Linked DNA regions of Elephas maximus indicus. The protein of the gene in region 3 interacts with the protein of the main gene of each other region in a biochemical or structural test. Links are inferred from orthologs where the notes say so. Each region holds a gene or a part of one and is shown on either strand. Other genes may lie near its edges.

Region 1 (7,132 bases), on a different chromosome or scaffold from region 3:
TTAGGAGGCAGCCATGTCCTCACTACACAGAGGAAAACTGGATAAACAAGGCTGAGCGCAGCAGCTCCTTTGTTTCTGCTGATGGGAATTGATACTGACACTGGGAAGCCAAATGGAAGGAAGAACCAGACTGGCTGAGGGCTGCAAAGTCAAGAGCAAGGAGGCTGGAAGTGGACTGGGGGAATGGATGAGAGAAGTTCTGTAAAAGCTTTTGGGAGTTAAGTGGCATTTCAGAAGGTGGGCAAACTGCTGTGGTGGGTAAGAGGGCTGGAAACGAAGCATGTGAAGGGGGAAGTCTGATGAGGACTGAGCAAGGGAGGAGATAGAGCTTAAGAACTCGAGGCTGCTGTAGCAAGAAATTCCAATCAAATATTATTCTCCAGATCTTGTTAAAACCAGTCAGCAGCCACAGCTATTTTATGCTACTATCTTACCACCAGATGCCCCCTGAAAGCCCTATGGGGCAGTTCTACTCTGTCCTACAGGGTCATCATGAGTCAGAACTGACTCGACGACAATGGGTTTGGTTTCACCCTGGAAGGAGCCCTGGCAGTGCAGTGGTTAAAGCACTTGGCTGATAACTGAAAGGTCGGCAGATCAAACGCACAAGCTGCTCTGCAGAAGAAAGATATGGCGGTCTGCTTCCATGAAGACTGCAGCCTTAGAACCCCATGAGGCAGTTCTACTCTGTTCTACAGGGTCGCTATGAGTCAGAATTGACTTGATGGCAATCAGTTTTTATCTTACTCTGGTAAGACCCCTTAGAGATGGTTTCACTTCTGACCCCATATTTGGGAGGGACAGAGAATTTACTAATTGAAGAACTCTTCTCCCAGGACAAGATGTAAGCCAGGAAATAAGAAGTCCTGACCTCAAGGTATAACCTCAGCTGTCAGAAGACAGGCATACCACAATCAAGAGAAGCACCAGAAAAGCAGCTCTTTCCAGGGTGAGAATGGTACAGGCAGAATGGATGCCCCTTCTGAAAGAGAGAGTTCTGCCTGGAATGTATCAAGTGTGGTCCAGAGTCCTCTGCAGCTAGAACTAAGGAGGACATAGGTGGTTCCTCATTATTGGTACTCAGCAACCAGGGGCTGGTGACCCTCACAATCTCCTCAGTTCTTTAAAGAGAAATAAAAAGTCACGTTGTATTTAAAATGGGCAAGGCACCCCTTACCAACTACCTGCTATTTCCCTGAAGAAAGTCTTCTAGCATGAAGACCCTCATTACTTATAACTCTTAAAACCTAGGCAAGCCTGACATTTCCTCAGTACAGTAAGGTTCTCTAGGTGGCAGCCTTGATTCTTTCTCAGGGATGCGTTAAACCAGTAGAAAACCTCCCCTCACAATAGGATGGGGGGAGTTAACCATGGGAAGAGCAGGGGAAACAAAGAACATTTGAGTCAGGAAAGATAACTATAGAAATGGTAGATCAACATTGTCATTCCCAAATTGAGGAAAATGTCAGCCTGAGAAGACGGCAGAGGGGAAACTGGAGTGGGCAGATCAGAGAGGAAGATAATGGTGCTGGGAGGAGGGGCGGCTGAAAGAGGCAGCAGGATAGAGCAGAAAGCTAGTTAAAAAAAAAAAAAAAAACCCACAAGAGAAGGCACTTAGCTTAATGCAAGCGGGAAAGCATTCTCACAGAAAAGGCTCCAGGCAGGGGGAAGACGCAATGTACCCTTATAGAAGGCTCTGGGGAAGAGCAGGACTCAATGACAGATGAGAAGCTGTGAAGCCCTTAGAATAGTCCCCCAACCTTCGCCTTTTCACCAGCCAAAACCTAAAGCCCTGGCTGGACAGCTACCTCTTAATCTTCCTCTGCCTGCACCAAGCCCGTTAAAAAAAACTTGCCCTACTGGCCCACAAGAGAGCCCTGGTGGCGCAATGGTTAAGCGCTGGGCTACTAAGTGAAAGGTTGAAAGGTTGATGCTTCGAACCTACCCAACCTGGCGATCTGCTCCCCTAAAGATTACAGGTTACAGCCTAGAAAACCTTATGTGGCAGTTTTACTCTGTCACATGGGGTCGCTATGAGTGGGAATCGACTGGACTGGTACCTAACAACGACACTGGCCCACGGGGTATTAAGCCATCTCAAAACTCACTCGAATCCTTCTTCTGGGAGGAGCTGCGGTCAAACCAAGTCCCAAAGCATCTTTAAATTCACAGGAAGCAACTAACAGGCCATTCTCCGTTTTTCCGACACCTCTAACTCTGAACTCTGCCTGAAATCCGCCCAGCACAGCGGTATCGTCTAGGACCAGGAATGCAGACCTAGACGTCCCTCCAGGATACATGAAGTTGTCGGGACTGCTTCCGTTCAGTCCCCGATGTTTTGACGGCCGGGACAGGCCGGCACAAAGGCCCGCTCCTCTTAAGCGCTTTCTCTTCCGGAGCTGCTTCTCCACAGATTCCTCCCAAGGAGAGCTGGAGTCTGGGGTCCCTGACAGCGCGCCCCCCGCCGTCCCGGGCGGCTGGGACACTGGGCCCCGCAGCCCTTCCCCGCACAGGCTCCGAGCCTGTTGCTCCGGGCCGGCTGCGGGGAAACGGTCGGCCCCGCTCCTCCGACTGAGGCGTCTCGGGAGGGGACCCGGGATGGCGTGTCTTCCGCAGGCGGCAAGGGCGCCATACTCGGGGTGTCGCAGGTCCTGAGGGAGCGCTCAGGCCACCAACCTCGCAGGGAGGGCCGTTGGGGGCTCCCGCCTGCCCCCTCCGGGCCTCCACAAGTTTCCAAAGAAGCGCAACGTCTCCTCCGGAGCCTCCTGTTGCCCTCCCCGCTAGGAGTCGCACCACGGCCTTCCCGGGCCTGGCTCTGCCTTCGCCTCGTTCCCTTCCCGCACCGCCCCCACTCCCAGGCCTCTCACAAGACCTCCCGGGCTCGCAGAGAAAGAAAGGACCACTCACAGCTTCACTACATTTTCCACCACGGCCGCCATCTTCCCTGCTCCTCTCCCTCAGGCCGGGAGGCCCCGGAGCCCGCAGCGCGCAGGCGCCGGGGCCGCGCCAGGGAGTGCGTTTCCTCGTCCCTCTGCGCAGGCGCCGCCCGGGCGCGCGCGCTCGAGAGCGAGCGCTGGAAAGTAACCTCCGTGCCCGTTAGCGGGCGTCGGGCAGGAAAGGTGTGAGGGAGCCAAAGGCAGCCCGACGCGCAGGCGCGACCGGGGACGGGCGCGCGCCCCGCTGCACCTGTTCTAGTCCCGCCTCTTCCATTTGGAGGAGCGGGAGGAGGGAGGAAGGATCTGCCCCACACAGAAATGAGAAGGCAAAAATGTTGGCGAGAACAGCCAGTGTTCCAGGGATGGTCTGGTGGGAGCGCATGCGTCTTTAACCACGTGGTTAACCCTTGTGCCTTTACTCATAGATGGGGATTGGTGGTATGGAAGGTGAGAGTGGTGCACAGCCCACTTGTGCCCATTTTAGGGAAAGGAAAGGAAGGGGAAGGGAGGGCGACAAAAGTTACCTCATCTTCCTGCCACCAAACCTACCCACCGAACTGCACTGAATACGTGGATATGGGAACCAAGGAGTGGAAGTGGGAGGTGCAGCCTCTGGCATTCTCAACTAATGGACCCTTTTGCAAAATGTTTTCTGTTTCTGCATCTCTGGGCTGGGCTCTGTCTGGTTTAGAGCCTTCAGGATCCAAGGAGCCCCTGGGTGGCATGAATGGTTGAGTGCCACTACTAGCTGAAAGGTTGGCGATTCAAACCCACCCGGAGGCACCTAGAAAGTCAGGCCTGACGATCTGCTTCCAAAAGGTCACAGCCTTGAAAACCCTATGGAGCAGTTCTCTGCACACATGGGTTGCCATAGTGGGAATCAACTCCAGGGCAACTAACAGGACCCAAGGAAGGAATGCGTCCACCCGGGGCTGGGGAGCACAATAAGGATCTTTTTAAATTAGTAGCCAAGACTGTCAAGAAGGAGCCCTGGTGGTGCAGTGGTTAAGTGCTGGGCTGCTAACCCAAAGGTTGGTAGTTCAAACCCACCAGCCACTCCTCAAGAGAAAGATGTGGCAGTCTGCTTCTGTAAAGATTACAGCTTTGGAAACCCTAGGCACAGTTTGCCCTGCGGGCATTTGCTAATCTGGAAGCTATGACTGTGAAATTTAGCTACTGGTTGGCAGTCTTTGGGGACAGGGACAAAAATCAAAACGCAGAGTCTGTCCAAGGTAGGAAATCAGATCCCCGGCCCCCTCCTAGACACACACACACTAAGTTGGGACTCCAACTTCCTCGGACTTGCAGCCCTGATCAGGCTACCTGGGTGGTCCAAAATGAGGTCTGGGACACATCTCCTTGTAAAGAACCCTGACCAGCCAAGATACTGGCTGAAAGCCAACGGAACATGTTCTGGGCCATGAAGGAGGGGAGTTATTCATACCAGCTACAGCTTCCTTGTAGAAAAAGTCTGTAGCTTCTACGTGTGTTTTTTTCTCGCTGTGTCAAATATATTTTTTATGTATTTTCATCCTCCATTCACTCTTGTACATAGGGTATGTTGGTGGTAAGGAACTTTAGAATTACTTAACCGTTGCGCCACCAGGGCTCCTTAGGGTGCATGTATAAGGAACCCTGTTGGCACAATGGTTCAGTGGTCAGTGGTTTGAACCCACTCATCTGGTCCATGGAAGAAAGACCTGGCAATCTGCTTCCATAAAGATTACAGCCTAGGAAACCCTGTGGGACAGTTCAACTTGGTCACATGGGGTCACTCTGAGTGGGAAATCGACTCAATAGTACCTAACAACATTTGTATGTATTTTAAGAGTAAACACTAATATAAGACATGCATGGAAGTTGAATATCCATAACAGTAGACCCTTAGAAACACTGGTAATTTTTCTGGCTGTCCAACAACTTTTCTTCCTATTTTGGGGACACGGTACCTGAACCCCATTATAAAAGCTGAAGAGGTACAGTCCCTTTTCTCCCTACCCCTGGCTACCTTGGAGTAAGCTGGTAGTCCAAGTTCAGTCAGGTGCTTCAGGTCCCCTCCCTAGTTCTTTATCCACCCCATGTCACAGCCCTAAGTGGTTCCCGGGGTCCTTTGGCTGGTGCCTGATGTAAGGTGGATCGAGAGAGGTCCAGGGGGACCCAGCACAGAAATGTCCTCCTTCTGTGGCTACTCTGGCCTCAGCTCAGCTCCAGGGTGAGGTGGTGCCTTCAGGGTGGGTGCAGCAATAAGGAAGTGTCTCTTTTTCTTGTCTTTCCCTTCCAAGGCAGAAGAGAACAAACGCCCAAGCACTGAGGAGGAGCTTGCAGGCAAGAAGGTGCTGGGCCTTCAGCTCCCTAACCCTTTGCCTTCACAAACTTTACCAGGGCACTGAGGTACCAGAGTAAATGATGGTGAGGAACTGCTATGTGACAGAAATAGCACTGACCTTGGAGTCTGACTATGTGAGACTGAGTTTTAACTTCTGTAAAATGGAGCTAAAGATACCCACCTCACAGGGTTATTGAGAAAATTAGAGATCACTGTTCCAAAATGGTTGTGGTGTGTGACTTGGGGCTCCAGAAAGGCAGGACTCTGATGTTGGAAAAGTGGTTCAAATCACCTTAGAGCAGTTTTGCTTGCAAGGCTGAAGCTGAGGCAATGGGGGAGCTCCCAAAGGATTTGAAGCAGGAAAGAACAGTCAGACTAGGTTTCAAAAAGGCACCACCCAGGCCAGTGAAGAGCGGCCCGGAGATCACAGAATCACATCTGATCACCTTTATGTGCCCTGACACCACGGCACTGGTCCCAGCTGTTTTCTTCATCACACTGTTTTCTTCATAGCATCCACCATTGTTGGAAATCATCTTACCTGTTTACAAACGTTATCAACCTCCTCCCACGCTGGAATGTCAGCTCCAAGAGAGCAGGGATCTAGTCTGTCTTGTACCCCAGCACCTGGAGCCACACCTGGCACATGGTGGATGCTCAGTAAACAGCTGTGGCTCCAGCTGATGGGCAACACGGCCAGGTCTGTCCCCCACTCCTGCATGCTCCCCAGCCCCCTGATGCCAGAGAATCTCCCTGAGAGTCCCCTGTACAGCCTTTGTGCTTCGTCTTACCCTTGGGTCTCCTCCAACAGACCCTGGCTGCCTGGGCACGACCAGCCCCAAGCCCAGCCCACACCAGCCAGCACCCAACCAATGTGGGAACGGCCACAGTTGGTCACTTGGTCTGTTCCTGCTCCATCCTCACTACAGCCAGGGCCTAATCCCCACAAAGGCCTCTCGGACTGGGGTCCCCTGCAGGGTGAGTTCGCAGTGCAGACAGTGGCCCAGCTTCAGGAGGAAACCTAAGACAAACGGGACAAGGCATGGGAAGACAGCCACCAGCAGCACCAAGTTTTATTACAACCAGAATCCCCCAGTCATGTGGAAGGGGACTAAGCAGGACACCTTCAGTCACTGCTGTGATGCCCCCGGACTAAGATGTGAAGCCAAAGGTCCCAAACCTCCACCTGGCTGAGCCCTGCCTTCCTCACCCCCACCTCCCCCCACCAGTCAGGACACCCCACTGGACTGAGCAGAAAGGAGGTGAGAAGGGGAGTTCTCTTCAGCACAGCCTTTACCCAAGGAGTCTGAGGAGAGGAAGAGCCATTGTCGGGGGGTTCAGGGCTGTTTGGGCCGGCGCCTCTTGCCCATGTCCTTGGTGGGCTGTTAGGGGGAAGCCATGTGGGCACTCTGCCCATGGATGAGGATGGAGGGAGAGAAACAAAGGCTCAAAGTGAGAAACCACGGCCACCACCAAACAGGTGGGACCTGGGGTCTGCCTCCTAGGCCAGGGCTGTGTCCACACACTGCCCTGAATCTGCCCGGCCTGGCTGCAGGTGCTACGTGGGGATCTGTACGCGGTCCAGGTCCTGGTCCTGGTCCATGATCTGGAGCACATCATCCAGGATGGAGGGCCCCAGGTCCACGTGCAGGGAGAGCAGGGAGCTGGCATGGGACAGGAAGGGCTCCTCTGCCCCGGACTGGGGGGTCAGCCCGTTGCGGGCAGGGCCAGCCTCTGGAGTCCTCCAGATGTCCACGTCCCCTGCCTCCTGCGGGGAGGGCTGGGAGGAGGGTTGAGGGGTCTCCAGGTGCAGCCGAGGGGGTTTGGGTGGGGCCTGGGTGGGGGGCAGGGTGAGGGCCTGGGGTCCCCC
Region 2 (7,160 bases), on a different chromosome or scaffold from region 3:
GGAATGCACCTGTTGCATATCTCTTGCACTGTACTTACAGCTATAATGAAGCTAATGTTTGTTGAGTACAACTTATGTGGCAAGCATTCTGCACATTCATTCTCCATTTAATCTTCAAAACAGCTCTAGATTTTGAACACTATTATATGCATTTTATAGAAAAGGAAACTGAACTTTATACCTGTTTTATAGGAAAGGGTAAACTCAGACAGGTGTAACTTGTCCAAGATCATATTGCAGAAGATTTGAAACCCAAGTGGTCTGGCCTGCGTTCTTAACCTTTTTGCTTTACTGTTTTACCTTAAATCTAAACTTTTGGTCGTAAGAGGCTAAGGAACCTTTTTTTGAAGTATTTCTGTATATATGTTTCCTCGAAGAATAAGAATTTGGTCCTGACCCAGTTGAAAGACATGAGCCAGCCTGGGGAGTTTTTATTATCTGGTGATGCCTAACTGAATGACTTCTCAAAACTGTGCAAATAAGTTGACTGCTTATGTCTGTGTGGTGAATGAACAGTTTTCACTTGCCTTTTCCTTGGCATTTTTTAAACACTAAGTGACACTTTGAAAATGACATGTGTCCAAAGCTACTAGTACAGTGGAGTGTTCTTGAATAGAATATTTATAACTAATGGTTTATAAAATTAAACAAGTTTTAAATTTACTCAAGGCATTGCAACATGGTAACCACAACCAAATCCAGTGCCGTGGAGTCGATTCCGACTCATAGCGACCCTATAGGACAGAGTAGAACTACCGCATAGAGTTTCCAAGGAGCTCCTGGCGGATTCGGACTGCCGACCCTTTGGCTAGCAGCCGTAGCACTTAACCACTACGCCATCAGGGTTTCCACAGAGACCTTTCTTTTTTTTCCCCTTTTTCTGACCACCCATATTTTTTCATCCCAGGGCAGATTTGAGGGATAAGATGATGAGCTCAGTTTTTAGTGTGTTTTAGACACTTTTGACTTGGAAGGGGCACTGACATGGATTGGATTTGGAGCTCAGGAGCAGAACTAGAGTTTGATACATACATTTACTTAAAAATCCATCTTCTAAACTATTACAGTATAAAGAATTTGGGTAGATTTAGAGGCAAAGCTATATGTTGTAGTCATGGGCAGAGTCTTGATTTAGGAGATGAGAATTTTATCTTTAGTTCTGTTATGCTTTCAGATCGTGAGACTTTGGGCACAGGGACTGAATTTGCACATATGAAAAAACTGAGTTACTGATCTAGATTTTCAGTCTTTTCTATTACTGAGAAAGTTCTAATATACTTGGGCTCTGTTATTTAAATATTTCTAATAAGTATAGATGATACCTCTGGATCAGGAACCAGAAAATGTGTTCCCAAGAACGACCTTGGCACCATAGAGTGTATAACTGTGCGGGGACGAGGAAGGGCGCAAGGAAGAAGACAGATCAGAGGCCCAGTTAAGCCAATAAAATAATACAAAACTTTACGTACACATTCTTCTATATAGAAATGCACAAAAGCTACATGCCAGAGCAAAGGTGTGGACAGTCATTTCTGTTTTGGTTTAATACCATTGTTCATCCTTATTTTTGAGATTTCTGAAACAGCTATTTAAACACAAATAGCAGTGTTGAAAGTGCTAGTAAGAAAAGGTATGTGATTGCAATGGAGAAGAAAGCGGAACTTTACATAGATGTCTTCACATTAATTATTGGGACAGTGTCACTTTGTACTTATGAACAGATGCATTTTGGAACAGCCATTTGGAACTTCACCTTTTTCAGAGAAGCTCCACCAGGAAACATTCCTTGTTTCTGGTTATACTTTCTTACTGTGGTTTTTCAAATTTTAGATAGTGGTTTCCTCTTTATCCCAAGTACTGCAGTCATATTTAATTTTATAAAGATTATATGTAAAAATAGCCAAAATATCTAAAGATAAATATTTAAAACAGTATCTGTAGACATTGGTAATTTCCCTAGAAAAGGTTTTGCTCTAGTTATTTTGGTACCTGGCACATAGCCTTGCAAATTGTAGGCACTCAAGCATTTGTTCACTTGAATTAGGGTACACAATTTTCAAATTGAGACATGTACTATTAGTGCTAAGTTGGTGGTAGAAGTAGTAAGTGCTATATTTCTGAAGGGAGTGATCCCTATGGGTTGAGGCATAGAGATTGGGAGGGTTTATGGAAGAAATGGGATTTGAATTGAGCATTGATGAATGGAAAAGATAATCAGTGGCTGCTGAGAAGTGGAAGGGATATCCCAGGTACAGGGAAAAGTAGAAGTTGAGAAAGGAGGCAAGAATGTACTTTCTGTGGAGGACAATACAAAGATAGGCCTAATATAGAGAAATTGGGTTGAGTATTTAGGGGACGTTTGACCCATGGCCAGATGTATGCCTTATGTTTATATATTTGTCTGTGATCAATTAGGTCTGAGAATTTTTTTCCCCACTGGATCTGATGCACTGCTCAAAAACTACCTGAGTGAGTTAAAAATAATTTCCCAATGTTGGAGTTGTGATTTGTTTTCATTGAACTCACGGTTAAGGGAATGGGGTGGATGGGTTTGGGAGAGTGTGGGATTAGAATCTAGTGAGTAGAAATACTAGCTAAATTGATTTTTTATCTCTGGTTTTATTTTGATTCCCAGTTAAGGAGATCAGCCAGCCGTGATGACCCGTAGAGCTCAGAATATATTTAGGGAATTGGCTTTACTGAAATTAGGAAATTGAGTACATGATTTGGGTAGCACATACTCCAAACCCAAAACCAAACTCAGTGTCATGGAGTCTATTCTAACTCATATAGGACAGGGTAGAACTGCCCCATAGGGTTTTCAAGGTTGTAAGCTTTACGGAAGCAGACGGCCACATCTTTCTCCTGCAAAGCATCTGGTGGGTCCAAACTGCTGGCCTTTTGGTTACCAGCTGAGTGCTTTAACCCCTGTCCCACCAGGGCCCCTTAGCACGTACTAGCTGGATTTAAGTTTTGAGGGCAGCTGATCACTAGGTCAGCTGCATTCCTAAACTTGTCTCTTTTAAAATTATTAGGAAATTAATGGCCCATCATTTCCCTGGAATTAGCTGTCTTTTGAAATATTTATGTTAAAATTATAAATGCTATTTCCAAGAACAAAGTGTTATTTATTGTGATTATTTTTATATCTGTCTTTTCATGTCACATTAATGACCATGGCAGCATGATGCAATTTTTAATAAAATTGTGATAAACTCTTTAAGTTCAGTTTTTTTATTTTTTATTTTTGTTAGTAGTAACTCTGTTTTTTTTTTTAACAAACATCTCTGGCAGACATTTTGAAAGTATGTCTCCCTCCACTCTGAAATTGTTTTCACTCTTAAGTTGCGTTTCTGTTTTTCTGCTATTGTAAAGTGCAGTTCTTTGCATGTTCTAATTTGCCATGACGTGGTCAAGTGCTGCTTCCTTCCTGTTGCTTGCAAACCGGTGCTAGAGATAAGGACACATTTCAGTGCATTAAAAAAGAAGACTTCTACTTACCAGAAGCCCTTTTAGAGAACAGAAGGAGTGGTCTCTGCTTTTATTTTCCGCTTATTTTAAAAAGCTGCTGAAATAATACTTATTAAACCTTAAATGTATTGGGCCTTTAAACAGATTTTAAATCCTTTCATGTATTAAACCTAACAGGAATGTTGTCTGAATGTTTCTATTAAAGACCAAAATACACTTTATGAAATTACTCATGGAGCAGCCATGCCTATGTAGGTGGTTTCCTGGTTAGTGAGAGGAAGGACATTGTTTATGTAGCCTTTATTTCAATTACAGATGTCTCATAATGCTAGAGTTTTTTTTTTTTTTTTTAAATACTCATTACTTTAACTGTAGTGTAACTGGAGGGGGGTAGGAAAGACTTCATTTTCACTAACGAAAGGTACTTTAATCTTAGCAGGGATGAAATCTTCAAAGACTAACTTAAAAAGGCCTGTGTACTAATCAACTCATGTTGATTTTATTTAAAAACAGCAATTCTGTATTGGATGTTATATTCTAAATGGTTAGAATTACTTTTTCATAGCTAACTTAAGCTTTTTGTTTTTCAGGCCAAGAAGTTCCAGAGAGAAAAAACTGCCTCAGTTTGAATACAATATCAGTGAAGCAAGAAAATTTGAAGCACCTTCCCTAAAGAAAACCTGGGTGTACAGTAACTTGACAGACTTAGCTGTGGGCTTTTTTTTTACTGAAATTCATCACTGGACTCTGCTGCCTGATACTTGAACCTGTTTGGAATTTTTCTTATGTGGATCTAAGGGGAATGCTTTATTATGGCTGCTGTTGTCCAACAGAACGATCTAGTATTTGAATTTGCTAGTAACGTCATGGAGGATGAACAACAGGTAAGTAACCCAGAGAATGCTGGATTTTAATACATTTATTTGTATGATTTCTCCATTTGTATCAGAAGATTATTTACTTGAAAAGATAATAAAAGAAACTTTTATATAAAAGTAAATTTCTTAATTTCTAAATTAAAAATTTGGAGGTGATGTACTCTTATGTTTTACATACCAGTTAAGTCATAAATTATGAATCTTATCTTTAGCTTTGATATGGTAACAAGGAAGTAATACTTAATGGGGTTCAGCTTATTTTTCTGTAAAATGAAACAGCAAATGCCGTAAGTAATTATTTCAAAATACTTTGAAACATGTAAGTTCTAGAGGCACACTAACAGGACATGTAAATGGCATTTTGTAGCATAGAACTGGTTATTGTAATAGTTGCTTACAACTTTACAGTGTTATACAGTTTTAATATGTGAAATTAACATTTATAATTGTGGGCGATCCCATAATCATCCATCATTTCAGTCCACGGCGCGTGACTCTGAGGAGGTTACACAGTTTCTCTAGGTCTTGATTTTGTCATCTATAGGATGAGAGAATTAGACTGAATGATTTCCAGTTTATACAAGATGTACAATTATTCTTTCCAGAATGTAATTTGGGGAAAAAAAAAAAAAATCTAAGCGATATTGAGTAAAGGATCTAAGATGAATTGTAGTCTTTTTTTTTTTTTTGGCTAGAGTTTCTTGGGATTTGTATTTTCCGAGTTCATTTAAAAAACAGGGTGTATGAGGTGTGTAAGATATATTATGCAAGTGTTGAAGGACTCAGTTTACTGGGAAAAATATTTTGTAGACCAGTAGCTTTAAAGTAGTTTTAGTAAGAATGATCTATATACTGAAATAAGCCTCATGTCAAATACCTAATTGGAATAGGCCAACCATGATATATCATGCTTCTATTCTAAAAACTTAGTTACTACAAATAATAAAAATTGATTTCTACTTTTGCTAGGGCATTATAATTTCTTGGCTGTTTGTATTATGCTAACATTGAATTGACAGAATAAAAAGTATATAAATAAACCTACAAAAGCCAAGAATTTGAATGAAGATACCTTAAAACCAAGATGACCTCTGGCCAGGGAGGAGAAAGATTTGAGGGAGAGGACTGGTTGGTCCCAGTTAAAACTACATTAATAATTATCTGGGTTTAATCTAGAAAGGATAGAAAAGATATTTTAGGGGGAGGAAGTGTTTTGAATTTCTTCTAGAGCCGGATGTTTATCTATATGTTAAGGTTTGAAAACAGCGTGTTTACTGTGCAGCCCTCTTAGATGAAAGATCCTGTGTAGATCCCAGGCTTGACGTGATGAGGCTTGATACCAGGATGTGGCAGCAAAGAACAGAGCTATAAGTCACTCACCAGTACGCTCCAGTGTAGTGGCTTTGCACTCTTTGGTCTCTAAGAAATACATCTTATGTTATGGCTCAGTATATATACATGTGTCTACATTGCCTTAAGAAAAAAAAGTCTTCACAGAACAATGCTTATCTTTACTATGTCGAATGCACTTAATCTGTCTTGCTCAGAGTGGTTAATTATGTCTGCATAGAGAGATGGTGCTCTGAGTTGGTCATCAAAATGGGTGTGTGTGTTTTCTTAGTTACTTACTTTTATCTGGAAACCCTGGTGGCATAGTGGTTAAGTGCTACAGCTGTTAACCAAGAGGTTGGCAGTTTGAATCCGCCAGGCGCTCCTTGGAAACTCTACAGGGCAGTTCTACTCTGTCCTATATAGGGTAGCTATGAGTTGGAATCGACTCGACGGCAGTGGGTTTGGTTTGGGTACTTTTATCTGGCAAAAAAAATTTTTATTAGTTTTGTGTAGGCATTGTTGTAAGGACTTTACAAATATTAACCATATCAAGTAAGTACTGTTTTCCCTATTTTACAATGAGGAAATTGAGATAGTGGTTAAGTGACTTGCCTGAAGTCATATTGCTAGTCAGTAATGGAGCTGAAATTTGAACCCAAGCAGTTGGACTCCTGCTAACGATGTTGAATACTCTAGCAGTGATCCAGGAGAACTTCACTGTATTGAATGTTTGGGGGCAGTTAGCCTGGTTTAGACTTTTTTCATCTATGACCATGAGTATAGTAAACCACTGATTCATAGCGGGATAGACCCAGGGATGTCAATCTTGTTAGCATCTTGTCTAACCTGTGGCTTTACCTTCTGCTTTTTTTTTTTTTTGGTTGGCTGAATTTTGTTATGTTTGTTTTAAATAATAATACTGTATTGTGTTTTTGGTGACAGTTTATAGAACAAGTTAGGTTCCCATTTGACAATTTCTGCACAAATTGTTCAGTGACATTAGTTACATTTTTTATAATGTGCCAACATTTTAATTGTATTCTTCTTCCATTTCCAGTATTCCAGTTTCTCTGCCCCCTTATCTTCTCATCTTTGCTTTAGAGTAAATGTTGACCTTTTGGTCTCATACAGATGGTTTTTAATAGAACACCATTCTCATGGTGGTTTAATTTGTTCTTAATTACGTAAATAATACATAGGCCAATTATAAAAGAAGTCACCTAATACAAAAATATATTTTAAAAATACTGAAAATCTCTCTGAATCCCTAATCATATTTTCTTCCCCAGAGGAAACCAGAATTTACAATTTGATGTATAATTTTTTAGACAAAAGTATAAACAAATGAACAATATACATATACAAACCAAACTGAACCCAGTGCCGTTGAGTCGATTCTGACTCATAGTGACCCTATAGGACAGAATAGAACTGCCCCATAGAGTTTCCAAGGAGCGCCTGGCAGATTTGAACTGCCAG
Region 3 (6,911 bases):
GTATTCTGTCAATTCCTGGTTCCTTGTTTTTTCACCAGTGTCTGAAGTGCAGCTTGGACTTCTTCCTTCAATACTATTGGTTCTTGATCACAAGCTACCTCCTGATATTGTTGAACATAGACCGATTCCATAGCAATTGTCCAAACCAAAAACCAAACCCATTGCCATCAAGTCAATTCTGACTGACAGTCAATCCTACAGGACAGAGTAGGACTTCCCATAGGGTTTCCAAGGAACGGCTGGTGAATTCAAACTGCCAACCTTTTGGTTAGCAGCCAAGCTCTTAACCACCTCGACACTAGGGCTCCGTAGCAACGGTAGTGAATATTCATTTAAACTGACAGAAAGATGCTAGTGTCTATAACATCAATGATATTCTCCTGTTAAATTTATTGATATCTCCATTTCTTTGCATTTTCATTGTCAAGAGAATAAAAGTCTGTATTCTACATGTGATCTTAAAAGAAAGATGGTTTCTTTGCCCTTTTCTATTAGGTTTATTCTTGATGATACAATCCATTGTAAAAATCACTTTTGTCCCGGTTGCTACATAAGAAGTCATTCTTTCTGGCTTTATTTGAGGAGCAGAGATTATATCTTCTTCTTTTGTAACCACTTATAGAGACTAATTGAGCACTCTCTCTATAAGATCTCAATTAACTGTGCAAACACAAGACAGAATACAGCAAGCATTTTAATGGAGGTGTAATGAAATGAAATATTTCCCTATCAGTAGGGAGAGATGCCACAAAGATAAGTGTATGGCCTAGTGGTCAATGGTGCAAAAGTTTATTTCTCTTAAAATTACGAGGAAATTAATTTCAAGTCCTTCACCTTCAAATAACTGCTTATAGTAGTACAGGCCTTCATCTCCCTTCAATCCTTTCTAGAACTCTGTGAGGTACGGCTATAATGTCATGCTTATTTTACCAGTGAGGAAACTGAAACTCAGACAAAGTAATTACTCAGATACCAAACCAAAAGCCAAACCCGTTGCCGTCGAGTCAATTCTGACTCATAGCAACCCTGTAGACAAGTAATAGACAAACTACTACTCAGCCAAAGTCACACAGGTAATTCAAGGCAAAGCGAGGACTCCAACTCAAGTCTGATTTTGAAGCTAGTGGAATCTTTCCATTTTGTCATTGCTCCTATAGCCAAGAACTGTGCCCCAGGTGTTCCTAAGCATGTTGAGTTGGCTCCATGACCCAAAGTAAACCATATGCACCCTTTATCGAAATACAATTCGCTCCTGTTCTATCCTCAAGATGGACCATGGAGTTTATGATTCTGTATTTGTGAGTCTCCGTTGCACACTATACAATTCCTCTTTATCAATGTATACACTATACAGATCTCAACCTCAGCATTCTCCAGACACCAACATTTCCAAACAGGGTTTTGTGAGAAGGGAAATTCTTGTGGTCCCAAATATTTTAGTGACAAACAACATGACGGGCCTTTTCCACAATCTCAATGCCTAAAATCCCGCACTTAGGCTTTTTTTTTTCCTTTGTAAATAAATGATAAATGTAAATATCCCTTGACACTTTAGGGTGAATGCATTTGTAGGCAGCATTCATGGAAGCAAGTATGAAGACAGTTTAGACAGAATTTTGAGAAACAAAGTAGCAATACAGAAAGGTTAACTGGTGATTAGAAAAGAGTAGACTAGAAACTTTTACAGTTTTGTCTGCTTCATACCTCCACCCCCAATTTTAAGTTCATTCTGTGGGATCATTGAGAATTGAAAATCTAATTTAATCATTTTCACCAATTAACACCTTTAATATTCGTTCACAAGAATGTCACAGTGGCTTCACACTTGTAACAATCCTGTCCCTCCATCATTTCTCCAATGAGGCTGCCAGCCCTGCTGAAAGAAAAGCGTGCGAGCTCACCCCTGTCCCATGAAGAGATACAACTCTCCTAACACTTTATTGTCTCCTGGGAGTCTGCAACCTTTGCACGCATGTCAGTGGCAAAAATCACTTCACAAACTATGTATCAATTGACTAAAATATAGTATTGGCAAAATTTATAATAATATCCTGTAAATAGTAACACAGGATTTATAAAAATTCATTAAGCCTTTAAAAAAAAAAAGTTGCCATGGAGTCGATTCAAACTCATGGTGACCCCATGTGTGTCAGAGTAGAACTGTGCCCTGTAGGCTTTTGGACGGCTGATGGATCTCTGGGTGAATTCTAACCTGCAACCTTTCGGCTTGAGCTCAGTTAACCATTTGCACCACCCAGGGACTTATGAATCCCCTGAATTCCAACTATTCACTCTAGAAGCTAAAAGAAGTAGCTTAAAGGTAAATTGTTGAGCAATCCAAAGATCACAGGGGCTCACCTCAGACCAGTTTAATCCCAATCAAATGATCCTCTGCTCTTCTGCCAAACGCTTCAGGGGGAAACAGGCCTGCAAGGCAGAGCGGAAACTTGCTAGGGGCAATCTAGTATCTTGCAACACTGCCTGGTTGTTACCTGATTCCTGACATTTTAAAAGTAAATTTGCAGAATTGTCACTGAACTCAGTAGTGGGAAAAAAAAAATTTTTTTTTTTAAAGGTGCTCTAAAACACACATCTGTTTCAGCTCAAGATGTCTTATCTGGGGAGCTAATCCACACCAGGGCATCCCCAGGCCCGTGCCTAGCACAATGCCTGGCATGTAAAGAAGCTCAAATGACCAGTGAATGCTGGTCACTGACAGGCTCATCTGTGGTTTCTAGTAGCGGTCCCTTCAGAAAAACAAACAAAACAGAAAATTTCCCTGCCAGATCAGTATGTATTTATGGGCTGTGACCGGAACCATTGCTACCACCATCACTATAGTCTATCCACAGTAATTATTATAAAAGCCTAGCAATGCCCTGTAGATGAAAGTTCTGGATAACTGCCATATAACCAGGGGGTTTAAGATCTCACTAAAAAAAAAAAAAAAATTAAAAGTAGATGTTTATACTTCACTGGAAACAAATCAATTATAATATTGAAATTCCAGTTTAAATCTGAAGAGACGTGAGTGTAATTGAGACATACTTAAATGGAACACACAGATGAGATTTATTTTTATAAACGGTATGCTTGGATCCTTGCCGACCCATCCCCTCCAGCGGGTCGGGCCTGCGCTGAGGGGCTCTATGATGGTCCGACTCTAAGAACTGCACAGCCTCCGCCTCCGCGGCCTCCGCACCGCCTGCTTCCAGGGACAATCCAGCCCCGCCGGCGCTTCTAGGGGGCGTCCCCACTCGGGAGCGCCCAACCGGCAAGTGGCAGCCCCGCATGGGGCCCCAGCGTCCCGGCCGCCTCCCTCACGCCCCTCGTCCTGCGCCCCGACGCGGCCCAGGAGGGCGGGAGCCGAATTAGGGTAGCGAGGCCGGGCCGGGGGCGCGCGGGGCCCCCAGAAGTGCGGGCTTCCCCCACCCCCGGCGGCGACCCCACCTCCCGCCTCCGCCGCGTGCGCGCGTGTGTCCGTCTGTCTGTCTTCTCTCTCGACGTCAGTGGGAATTTCCAGCCAGGAAGTGAGAGAGTGAGCGAGAGAGAGAGCAAGAGAGAAGTGCACCAGCGAGCTGGGGCAGGAAGAGGAGGTTTCGCCACCGAAGCGGCCCGGCGACGCGCTGACAGCTTCCCCTGCCCTTCCAGTCGGTCGGGCTCCCGCCGCCGCCGCCGCCCACGGCCTGCGCCCTGCCGCCCGCCCCGCTCCGAGAGCCCCTCGCCACCCAGGCCGGAGCCGCCGCGGCTGGGAAGACGGCGCCGCTGCGGCCCGGCCACCGCGCGCCCTGCGCTTCCCTCCGCCCGCGCTGCGGCATGGCGCGGCGCTGACTGGCCCGGCCCGGCGAGACCGCGCGCCCTCCCGCTCCTACCCGCCCCGCACCCGGACAGCTTCGACTCCGGCCTCTTCGTCCCCGAGCCCCCAGGCCCGCGCTGCCCCGGACGGGGAGCCCACAGGCGCAGTGAGGCCAGCGCAGACTCGCGACCACGGTAAGCCAAACTCGGGCCAGTGGGGGCCACGCTAGGAACGTGTGGCCCGAGTCCCGCCACCAACCCACCCCGCACCCTCTACAGCCGTGCTCGCACTTCCTCATTCCTGCGCTAACCGCTGGGCTACACCGTAGGAAGAGGTTGACAGTAGTTGCGAAGCACATGGGATTGGCGAGAGAGGGGAAAAGACATCCGGACATCGCAGGCGCCGATCGGCCGAAGGGCCGCAGCCGCTGGGGCCGTCCTTTCCCTTCCCCTCCATGAACTCCAGCTGGGAACGGGAACCTTAGGGGAACTCTTTGCAAACTTTTTATTTAATCCTCACCCCCACCCCCGTTTGGGTGGTGGAGAGAGGGTTGAGATGCACTGTGGCGCGGAGAAGACTGGGGAAGGTGGTTGGTGCAGTGCTGAACCAGATTTCACCTAAGGGCCTTTCCATAAAATGAAAGCAGAAGTGCATGTCAGTCGTCTTGGCTTGGAAAACCCTCCCTAACTCCTCAGAATTGTATAGGAGAGGCTTTCTCTTCCTTCTGTTTCTGAAAGAAACCCCATTTCACATACCCTGCACACACCCCAACCGGGATATAGTATATTCACCTACTGTAGAACCTGTACGTTAGTTTTCAAAAATAAGAAGGGCCTGACATTTGAGAGGGAAAACAGACTACCTACTTAGATCACTTTTGAGGCCTCTTGATTTTGTAGAACACTTGGACAGTGGCACGTGCATAATCTCTAAAACAAATGTTATAAATAAAGCTTATCCCAAATGCAAGTTTTCCTGGGGTCTTTAAAATACACCCAGATGAGGATGTTTGCTCTGATTCATTGGTCTATCCTGAAACTTAAATAGGACTTAATGCAACAGGATTTGATTAGCAAGGTTTCAGACCTATTTATGGACTTTGTTAAGTAGGGTTTTTCAGTATTGTATCTTATGAAATAACCATATTTAACGTAAAGATTTTGTTATAAAGCTTATGAACGGAAAAACGATTATGGATTACTAAAACATTTAATGGCTTTGGCATAAAAATGTTCTTCCACCAACTGGTCATCTTTGATAAACACGAAAGCTTGGGATCTAGATGTTCGGTGATTATTTTTCTAGCAAAATTCTTCAACTGAATATTCTTGAGTAGTTTACGTGATTGTTGGTTAAAACTTTAACAGGAAAACTTGATTAAAACAAAGACCTTAGCTGAAGAATATTGTTTTCCTGATTTTAATATTGTGCTTTCTAGAGATGAATCCTTTTACCATCTAATGCACTATAGAAATCGTGTAAATAACTTAAAGCAAAAAAAAAAAAATTTTTTTTGAGCTTCTGAGATTGGGGAGATAGGAAATAAGAAATTTGTTTCCTGTAGCATTTTACATTTATCATGTAACTGAGTTGCTAAAATGAAATGAACATATATGATAAGGGAAATGGGGACTCTCCTGAGATGATTCATCCTTGTTGATATACCTGCAACTCCTAATGCCCTCCAGAGCTTGTTCAGATAAAATGTCTTCCTGGGCCAAAGCCTACTGGACAGACTGGAACACAAAGGAAGACTCATTACATGTAGATTTAATGCTGAAATTAAATACTGCTTGTTGTGAGTAGCAAACCACTTCTAACAAGTTTGAAAGACTTTTTAAAGAAAACAGTACAATCCTATTAGGACTTGGTGGTAATTTGAAATGCTGTTATCTTTGCTTTGAAACTTCAATTTATTGGTATTTTCTGCAGTTTGCACTCACTTGGCCTGAATAAATGCCCCTGTTGTTCAAACTCAGTTAGTAAATACTGGAGTATACATACAAAATAGTCATTCCCCTTTGTAAGCACTACTTTGATCTTTGCACTTCCTTTTTACCTCTTAAACAAGATCATCTGTGATGACTGAATTGCAGTTGCAGGAAGCTCAATTAGTCTGAAATGAGGCAGGATTTTAAATTCAGTAATCATCTAGCTCATATGTCTCTTGTCATTGTTCCTTTGAACAAATTGAAGGTAGTTTGAGAAGTTAATATCTATGTACGGCTTTTTAAATTATTATTACTGGTTTCAAACGTCCAGATAATGATGAAGTGTGTTACTACTTAGACTTTCAGGGATTGTTCATTGTGGTAGAAAGGAGGTCCAGATAAGGAATTGGCGGCTACTTGGATCTTGGAGTATCATTCAGTCAGCAAGGCCTTAAATGTTTTACCTAATTTATGAGAGGTATTCCCCTGTTCAGAAGAGGTGAAAGTTCTGGCTTCTGGGGGGAAGTGGTTACTCATAACCTTCAATTAGTTTGAACTTGGGAGAAATAAGAACAGTAGTTGGCATTTTAAAACAGTAAGTTAAAAATTATGTCTAAGTTCTCATATGGATTTTTGATAAAGCACTATAAAAAAAATACCATCTTTTTCTTCTTCAGAGTTCATGAGGAGTAAATGTGCTGCCTGAGCACTGGCGAGGGCCCAGTGGGAAATGTACTTAGGACTGCTGAGTAGTTTAGCCTGTAAAGATTCAAGTTATGCTCTCCTGGTCTGCAGATCTAGCTGGAAAGGAACCACATTAACAGGAATGAATGTATACAAATCAGTGTCTTACAGAGTTTCTGGTTAATTTGTCCTACCTTTTATAGGAAGGTGTCTTTTTTTTGGTTGGTTGATTGGTTTTCTGTTTATAATATGAATCCTATATGTTTTGATTGTTGGAAGAGGAGAAGGAAGAATAGAATTTTAGGACTGGAGGAGACTGTAAGACGTTTTGTTCCTGTTCCTACGTTTACGTCTGATCAGACTTTTCTCTCAGTTCAATGACAACTGCTTCTTGGTGACCAGTAAACCACACTGGAGCTATTTACCCTTGTTGCTGGGAATTATTTCTCATTTGCGTTCTTGCACTTCCCATAAATACTGAACTCACAGTGTTCATAGTT
Region 4 (6,959 bases), on a different chromosome or scaffold from region 3:
CAATTTCAATATTTTTTCTGTTTATCAAGATGTTGCTCATTGGTCCAGTTGTGATGTGTGGTGGCCCTGCCCTTTAAAAAACCAAAAAACCAAAACCTGTTGGCATCAAGTGGATTCCAACTCATAGGGACCCTACCCTATAGTCACTGCTCAATAGCACACAGCCTCAAAGCAGGAATAAAAAGGAATGTTTTTCTGCTGCAGCTGAAAATATCTTTTGAAACAGTCCGCTCATATCCTCCAGAGCAGGATTGCTAGCAGATGTAGGCAGTGACGTGGACATGTCTTATCTGGAGGGAAAAGAGCGTTTAACATGATAAATATCTTGGGACATGATAAAACCCAGAGGCCCCTTCCTGAGCCATCACCCTTTCTTTTTAAAAATCTAGTACTGCATCTGACCTCATCAGAGAGATTTATGTTCGGTTGAAAACTAAGTTATTTTGAGCTGAACAAAATGAGAACTCTTAAAGTTGTACAGTGAGGAAACCTTTGGCATATCAACGATGCCTCCCTAAGTTTCTCATGGACAGTGATTTTTCAGTAGTGACAGAATTAAAGAGAAACCTTTCATGGCATCATATGGGAAAAAACAGACTCTACATAGGGCCCAGCACATACAAACCAAAAAACCAAACCCATTGCTGTCCAGTCTATTCCAATTCATAGCAACCCTATAGGACAGGGTAGAACTGCCCCTTAGGGTTTCCAGGCAGCACCTGGTGGATTCGAACTGCTGGCCTTTTAGTTAGCAGCTTAGCTCTTAACTACTATGTCACCAGGGTTTCCGGTAGTGCCGTGCATATTCTTAGTGCCTCACATATTCTAAATACAATATAGGTACTTGTATAATAAATAAATGAAATATTTTGAGCGCATACATTTCATTTATTTATTATACAAGTACCTATATTGTTTTTGGAATATGCAAGGCACTAAGGGCTTTACCTGGGTGGCACAAATGGCTTGAGCTTGGCTATTAACTAAAAGGTTGGTGGTTCTAATCCACCCAGCAGCACCATGGAAGAAGGTCCTGGGAATCTACATGCATAAGATTATAGCCACCGAAAACGCTACGGAGCACAGTTCTACTATGAAACACACGGGGTTGCCATAAGTCAGAATTGACTTTATTACAACAGGTTTTTTTTTTCTTTTTTTTAAGAGCTTTATAGAAGGTGCTTTACACCACCACCCATCTCTCAGGTTGTCATATTGTGGTGGCCTACTTGTTGCTGTGATGGTGGAAGCAACGCCCCTGGTATTTCAAATACCAGCAGGGTCACCCATGGTGGACCAGTTTTAGCAGAGCTTCTACACTAAGACAGACTAGGAAGAAAGGCCTGGTGAACTACTTCAAAATTTAGCCAATGAAAACACTATGATCACAATGGAATATTGTTAACATAGTACTGGAAGATGACCCCCTACGTAGCGTTAACCTTACTGTAGTGGGCCCAAGATGGAGTTACTTACGCTAGCCCCACATTAGCAAACCAAAACCTAGCCAGTTTCTACTCCTGTAAATGCTTGACCTTCTCAGTGTTACCGGAATAAGGTTCTTGCCTCTTACTGGTCAAGAACGAGCAGGTAAGGCACGTAGAGTTTTCCGCATGAGCAAAGCTTTATTGAAGAGGTTTGCAAGCGGTGATATGGAGGGCCTAGAGCAACGCTACCCTCTTAAAGACGGGCCTGAGTTTTTAAAAGTTCTTGGGCGGGAAAAGATTCATGTTTATTCACAGACACAGGCGGGGACATGTTAACGAAGGTGCGCACACAGCAGCTTTCCAAGACGGCTCCTGTCTCAGAGCCCTCTGGGATTTGTGGGGTGTCGTGCCTGCTCAGTCTCTCGCTCCCTGGGTTCAATTCCCCGGCTGGGGCTGTAGCCCCTCTCTGCCCCTGGTGGAAGGTCACACAGCAGTCACAGGTGGATGTTCTGCGCATGTCCCTGGGCCTGGTTTTCCCAGCTGCTTCTGAAAGGCAATTTTAAAGAAGTTTGCAAGCTATTTTTTGATACCCTCTCCCATTGTTCTGGGGAATGGCTTTGTTTCTGTGCCCTGGCCCATTTCTTGTTACTTTGTTTCCACATTTGGGGGCCCCTCCATTCTCTGCCTTACTAAGTCTCTAGGTTCCACATTCAACCCATTACCTCCCTGATAGTATAGTCTATTTCTCTTTTACTTGCTTCTCCTTTAACCACCCCAGTCCCTTCGCTATTTCTCAAACGGGCACCCTCCGATCTCAGGGCCTTTGCTCCCTGTCTTACCAGGAGCCAAAATCTGAAACTAAAACCTAAGCTAGCCAATTAGGACTTGCCTGCTGAGTTTAATCTAGTTCAAAATTGCCCCTTTATCCCAAATAAAGAAAGAAAATGCCTGCCAGCCAATTCAAAATTTGCCTAGTGTGTCTTCCTTGTTCCTGTGTGTCTGTGACAAAATAACCCTTTTGCTTTGTCCTGCTCTTCAGAGCGCTTGTCAGACTTGCAGACCCAATTTTCATGAACTGAAAAATAAAGCTTGTGAGTTTGTACGCAAATTTAATATTGTGGAAGCTTTCATTTGTAACAGTTGGAAGGCACTCAAAATGCACAATAACTGCAACAATGAACTCAAATATACCAGTGATCGTGAAGATGGTGACATTTGGTTGTGTTATACATAAGGTCACCGTGAGTTGGAGCTGACTGGAGGGCAACTAACAACAATAACAAGCGCTCTACAACTATTTGCTCAAGTAGTTGTTGGTTGTTTGGGTGGACACCTGTTCCTAAGAGTTAAGATCAACCTGCTGGCTCTGTTTAGGTGACAGGCATGTCCTCTGTGCCAGGCACTGCTTTCACCATGAGTTCATCTGTTCTTCTCCACAACCCTGCTGGCATCTCCTCCTGTGACTCTGTGTCCTCCTGCTGCTATTAAGCCGAACTAAATGAGGTTGCTGATCTTTGATCGTTGTTAATGTTTCAACAAAACGACAGTTCTAAATGTGCATTTTTTTTTAAAGGCAATCTCATGCAATTCAACCTAATATTGCCTCCATTTTAAAGAGAAAACTGAGGCTTAGAGCAATTAAGTAACTTGCACTAAAGTTTTAGAGGTAGTCGGTAGCAGTATCTGGATTCAAAATCTAGTTTGCCTCCTTCTGAGCCTCTTAGCACGCTACTTTTAACCAAATATTAAGAGCATGGGCCCAGGAAGGAGCCCTGGTGGCTCAGTGGTTAAGAGCTACAGTGAGCTATGGCTGCTCACCAAAAAGGTCTGCAGTCCGAATCCACCAGCCACTCCTTGGAAACTCTATGGAGCACTTCTACTCTGTCCTATACGATCGGAATCCACTCGTAGGCAACTGGTTTGGGCCCAGGAACCAGCTGCTTGGGTTTGAATCTCAAATCATTTATTTACTAGCCCTATGACTTTGGGATAAAAACTTTTCCTCTCTGTGCATCAGTTTCCTGCTCTGTAAAATGGTGACAATAGTAACACAGCTATTATCTAATTTATAGGGTTGCGGTGAGGATTAAAAGAGGAAATCTAAGAGTTTAGGACTGTGCCTGGCACTTAGTAAGCACTCTATAAACTATTATCAGGGTCCTTTAATCTCTTTTCTCTCTTGAGTAAAATACACCAACATACAAAAAACTTCTTTGTCTACTAAGATTAGGACTGAGAAACTCACTAGTAGAGGACCTCATGATAATGCCAAGCAGGTAGGAGATGAGCCTCAGAGTTGAGACTCCCCACATCACTGAGACTGGAACTTTAGTTTAGCACTACACTACTGGATTGGATTTTTCTTTCTGGGGGGACGGGGCAGTCACCCGGGCAGGGGTCGCGGGGGGGACCCAAGCTCCGCGCGGCCGCCGGTGGGCACTGGGAGTGACCCGGGCTTGCTCTGCGGCGGCCCCTTTAAGAGCCGGTCGCAGGCCCACGTGCCGCGGTGACGTCAGAGCAGGAAGTGTTTGAGGAAGTCGCTCTCTGCTGGCTGGGTTAGGATTCCCGCATTTTAATGTCTTCGGGGTGGTGTCAGAGCCCCCGGTTGTGCTGCCCCAGCCCCCATCTCCCCGGCCCGGGGAGCCTTTCCCCTGCCAGGCGTCCCTGCCGACAGGTGAGTCCCGCGGGCCGGAGGGAGCGGAAGCCTTGCGGTGCCCACCTGCGGACCCCGCGTCTTCCTTGCCCCGGTCGGGCTCTCCATCTCCTCACTAGAGGCTGCCGTAGAAACTTTCGTCGAGTTTAAAAATCAGGTGTTTGCCGACATGGAAGTGTTTCCCTTTAGCGGGTTGGAGTTGGGAGGCCCGGGAGAACAGCCTTGGCCAGAGGGGTTCCAGGTGGTTGCTTAGAGGTGGGTGGCATTGAGAGAGAACCGTGATTCTCTGGGACCTTGTAGAGGCGCACGTGACCGTGGTGGCGCGCAGAGCTAGATCCCCTCCCTGCTGCTTTCGGGAGAATGCGGGCACGGAAGGGGATCCCCTCTAGAGGTCATGGGGTGTGGGGCATCACCTCAGTTGAGTGACTTTCCTCTCTACTTCCTTCCACAACAACTGGAGGGCGGGTGAGAAAGACAGAAGTTTACTACCTAAAACTACAAACAAACAAAAAAAACCTGGTTTATTTACAAGATAAAAACCAGTTCAGTTTTTTTTTTTTTTTTTTCCTGTCGTATTGAAGGGCAAAACTTATGCCCTGCCTTCTCCATCTCCCTGAGCAGGAACTTGCCCCGTTTTTTCTTAACTTTTTTTGTCCTTCACCCCGAATTACTTACAGAGTTAGCGCAACATCAATATGAGCTGGTCACCTTCCCTGGCAACTCAGACATGTGGGCCCTGGGAAATGAAGGAACGACTTGGGACAGGGGCATTTGGAAACGTCATCCGATGGCACAATCAGGTAGGGCTCTGTGCAGCCTGGAAGAGGCAGGGGTGGGCAGAGGGCTGGAAGAGCGGGTGTCGGGTTCACCTTTACTGTCTCAGGGCACTTGCAGATTTCTGCCCCACGTTGTTCGGGGTAGGTGAGTGGGTTACACTTTTTGCCCTGAGCTTCTTGGGAGAGAGTGAGAAGGGGGATAGGAAGGAGGCATCAGGACTGCTAAGCTGACTCTAGGTTCAAACCTGTTGCCATTGAGTCAGTTCTGACTCATAGCGACCCCGTGGGACAGAACAGAACTGTCCCATGGGTTTTCCAAGGAGCAGCTGGTGGATTCCAACTGCCAACCTTTTGGCTAGCGGCCAAGCTCTTAACCAGTGCACCATCAGGGCACCAACTCTAGGTTAGTAGTTTCCAAATTTTATTGGCCTTAATAAATAATAAAAAAGTTTAAGCTCTCAGCCTCAATTATATGTATTTTAAGTTATTTATACCAGAAAACGAAACCTATTGTTGTTGAGTCAATTCCAACATATGGTGACCTTATAGGACAGAGTAGAACTACCCCATAGGGTTTCCAAGGAGCAGCTGGTGGATTCGAACTGCTGACGTTTTGGTTAGCAGCCGTAGCTCTTGACCACTGCACCACCAGGGCTCCATTTCTGGACTTAAGGGATGGGAAATTGCTCATCTCTTCCCAGGAACCTGGCTGCAGCGAGCAGAGTGGGGCGTTGAGGCTGCTGGCCAGCCATGTCAGGCGTTTACTTCAGACGGCCACCCTTCTTTATCACTTAGTTGATAGACATTCCAGGCCCTGCCTGAATCCCATCAGCTCTGAATGGGCAGAGCAACCCCTGGAGGGATGTCAGAGCTGGAGCTGGAGGGCAGAGTACAGTTTTGCAGGTGGTAATATTCTCTCTCCCAATGTGGGAACTAGGGTTCCAACAAACCCTATGGCTGAGGATGCCTGAGAAATACAACTGGCTCAAATTTGTCCTGGTCAGAGTATAGCCAGGGGCCTAGCAGTAAAAAACAGAAGAACCTGATCACTCTACCAAAGCAGAAAAAAAAGACCCATGGCCGTAGAGTCAATGCCAACTCATAGTGACTCTACAGGACAGAGTAGAACTGCCCAGTAGGGTTTCCAAGGAGCTGCAGGTAGCTTTGAACTGCAGATCTTTGGTTAGCAGGTAAGCTCTTAACCACTGCTCCACCAGGGCTTTGATCATTCTGCAGCCCCACAGAATTCTCGAATTCTGTCATCTCTAGCTCAGAATGACTTCTGTATGCTCTCTAGACTTGGAAAGTCAGGATATTGCAAGGTAGAATTTGTTTCCAGCTTTATCAATATGGGCCTAAGAACGTGTTCCCGTATGTATGGATTAAACCAAAAAAAACCAAACCCGTTGGCCATCGAGTTGATTCCGACTCATAGCAACCCTAAAAGACAGAGTAGCACTGCCCCATAGGGCTTCCAAGGAGCAGCTGATGGGTTCGAACTGCCGACCTTTTGGTTACTAGCTGAGCTCTCAACCACTGTGCCACCAGACCCCTGTGTATGGATTAAAAACCAAAAAAAAAAAACAAAAACAAAACACATTGCCGCTGAGTCCCTTCTGACTCATAGCAACCCTAAAGGACAGAGTAGAACCGCCCCATAGAGTTTCCAAGGAGCACCTGGTGGATTTGAACTGCTGACCTTTTGGTTAGCAGTTGTAGCGCTTAACCACTTTGGCACAGTTTTCTAGAATTACTCCCATCCCCTGCTCAAAAACCTTAATTTGTTTTTTATTTTTACAAAGCCGAACTCTTCATCCTGTCGTTTGAGGCTCCTCCACAGTCAGGTCCCACCCTGTCTTTCTAGCCTCTCCTCCCTCTTGGCTCCTGACAGGTTGGTTGGCTGAGTCCTTTCTCTGGGACAAGCATCCTTCTCAACGCCTTGACATAAATTCTGCCCGTCCGTCCCTCCGGCACCAGCTCTAGGCCACCTCCTCCGTAAACCCATCACAGGCTGCTTCATTCCATGGGAATTCGTTTTTCTGTTGAATTCCTTCAGCTTCACTCAGTTGGCATACCTCATATGCTGCCATTTTGTCTGTGTGT

What was found.
Region 1: the proteins of NFKB1 (region 3) and DPF2 form a complex in vitro, tested with the Homo sapiens proteins (2 studies listed by BioGRID). The link is inferred for Elephas maximus indicus from reciprocal best matches to the Homo sapiens genes NFKB1 and DPF2.
Region 2: the proteins of NFKB1 (region 3) and ELF1 form a complex in vitro, tested with the Homo sapiens proteins (2 studies listed by BioGRID). The link is inferred for Elephas maximus indicus from reciprocal best matches to the Homo sapiens genes NFKB1 and ELF1.
Region 4: of the proteins of NFKB1 (region 3) and IKBKB, one has a biochemical effect on the other in vitro, tested with the Homo sapiens proteins (4 studies listed by BioGRID and IntAct). The link is inferred for Elephas maximus indicus from reciprocal best matches to the Homo sapiens genes NFKB1 and IKBKB.

Annotation. Positions count from the first base shown.
Region 1 is NC_064825.1:128,496,100-128,503,231, reverse strand, and holds the start of DPF2 (zinc finger protein ubi-d4), read right to left. Parts: upstream 3,017-7,132; 5' UTR 2,940-3,016; coding exon 2,908-2,939; intron 1-2,907. Other genes in the region: CDC42EP2 (cdc42 effector protein 2), read right to left, coding at 6,821-7,132. UniProt on the Homo sapiens protein: Plays an active role in transcriptional regulation by binding modified histones H3 and H4. Is a negative regulator of myeloid differentiation of hematopoietic progenitor cells. Might also have a role in the development and maturation of lymphoid cells.
Region 2 is NC_064832.1:40,374,957-40,382,116, forward strand, and holds the start of ELF1 (ETS-related transcription factor Elf-1), read left to right. Parts: upstream 1-4,144; 5' UTR 4,145-4,283; coding exon 4,284-4,355; intron 4,356-7,160. Other genes in the region: kelch repeat and BTB domain-containing protein 6-like, read left to right, coding at 4,062-4,144.
Region 3 is NC_064823.1:50,252,794-50,259,704, reverse strand, and holds the start of NFKB1 (nuclear factor NF-kappa-B p105 subunit), read left to right. Parts: upstream 1-3,905; 5' UTR 3,906-3,990; intron 3,991-6,911.
Region 4 is NC_064840.1:58,150,629-58,157,587, reverse strand, and holds the start of IKBKB (inhibitor of nuclear factor kappa-B kinase subunit beta), read left to right. Parts: upstream 1-3,943; 5' UTR 3,944-4,101; intron 4,102-4,757; 5' UTR 4,758-4,775; coding exon 4,776-4,880; intron 4,881-6,959.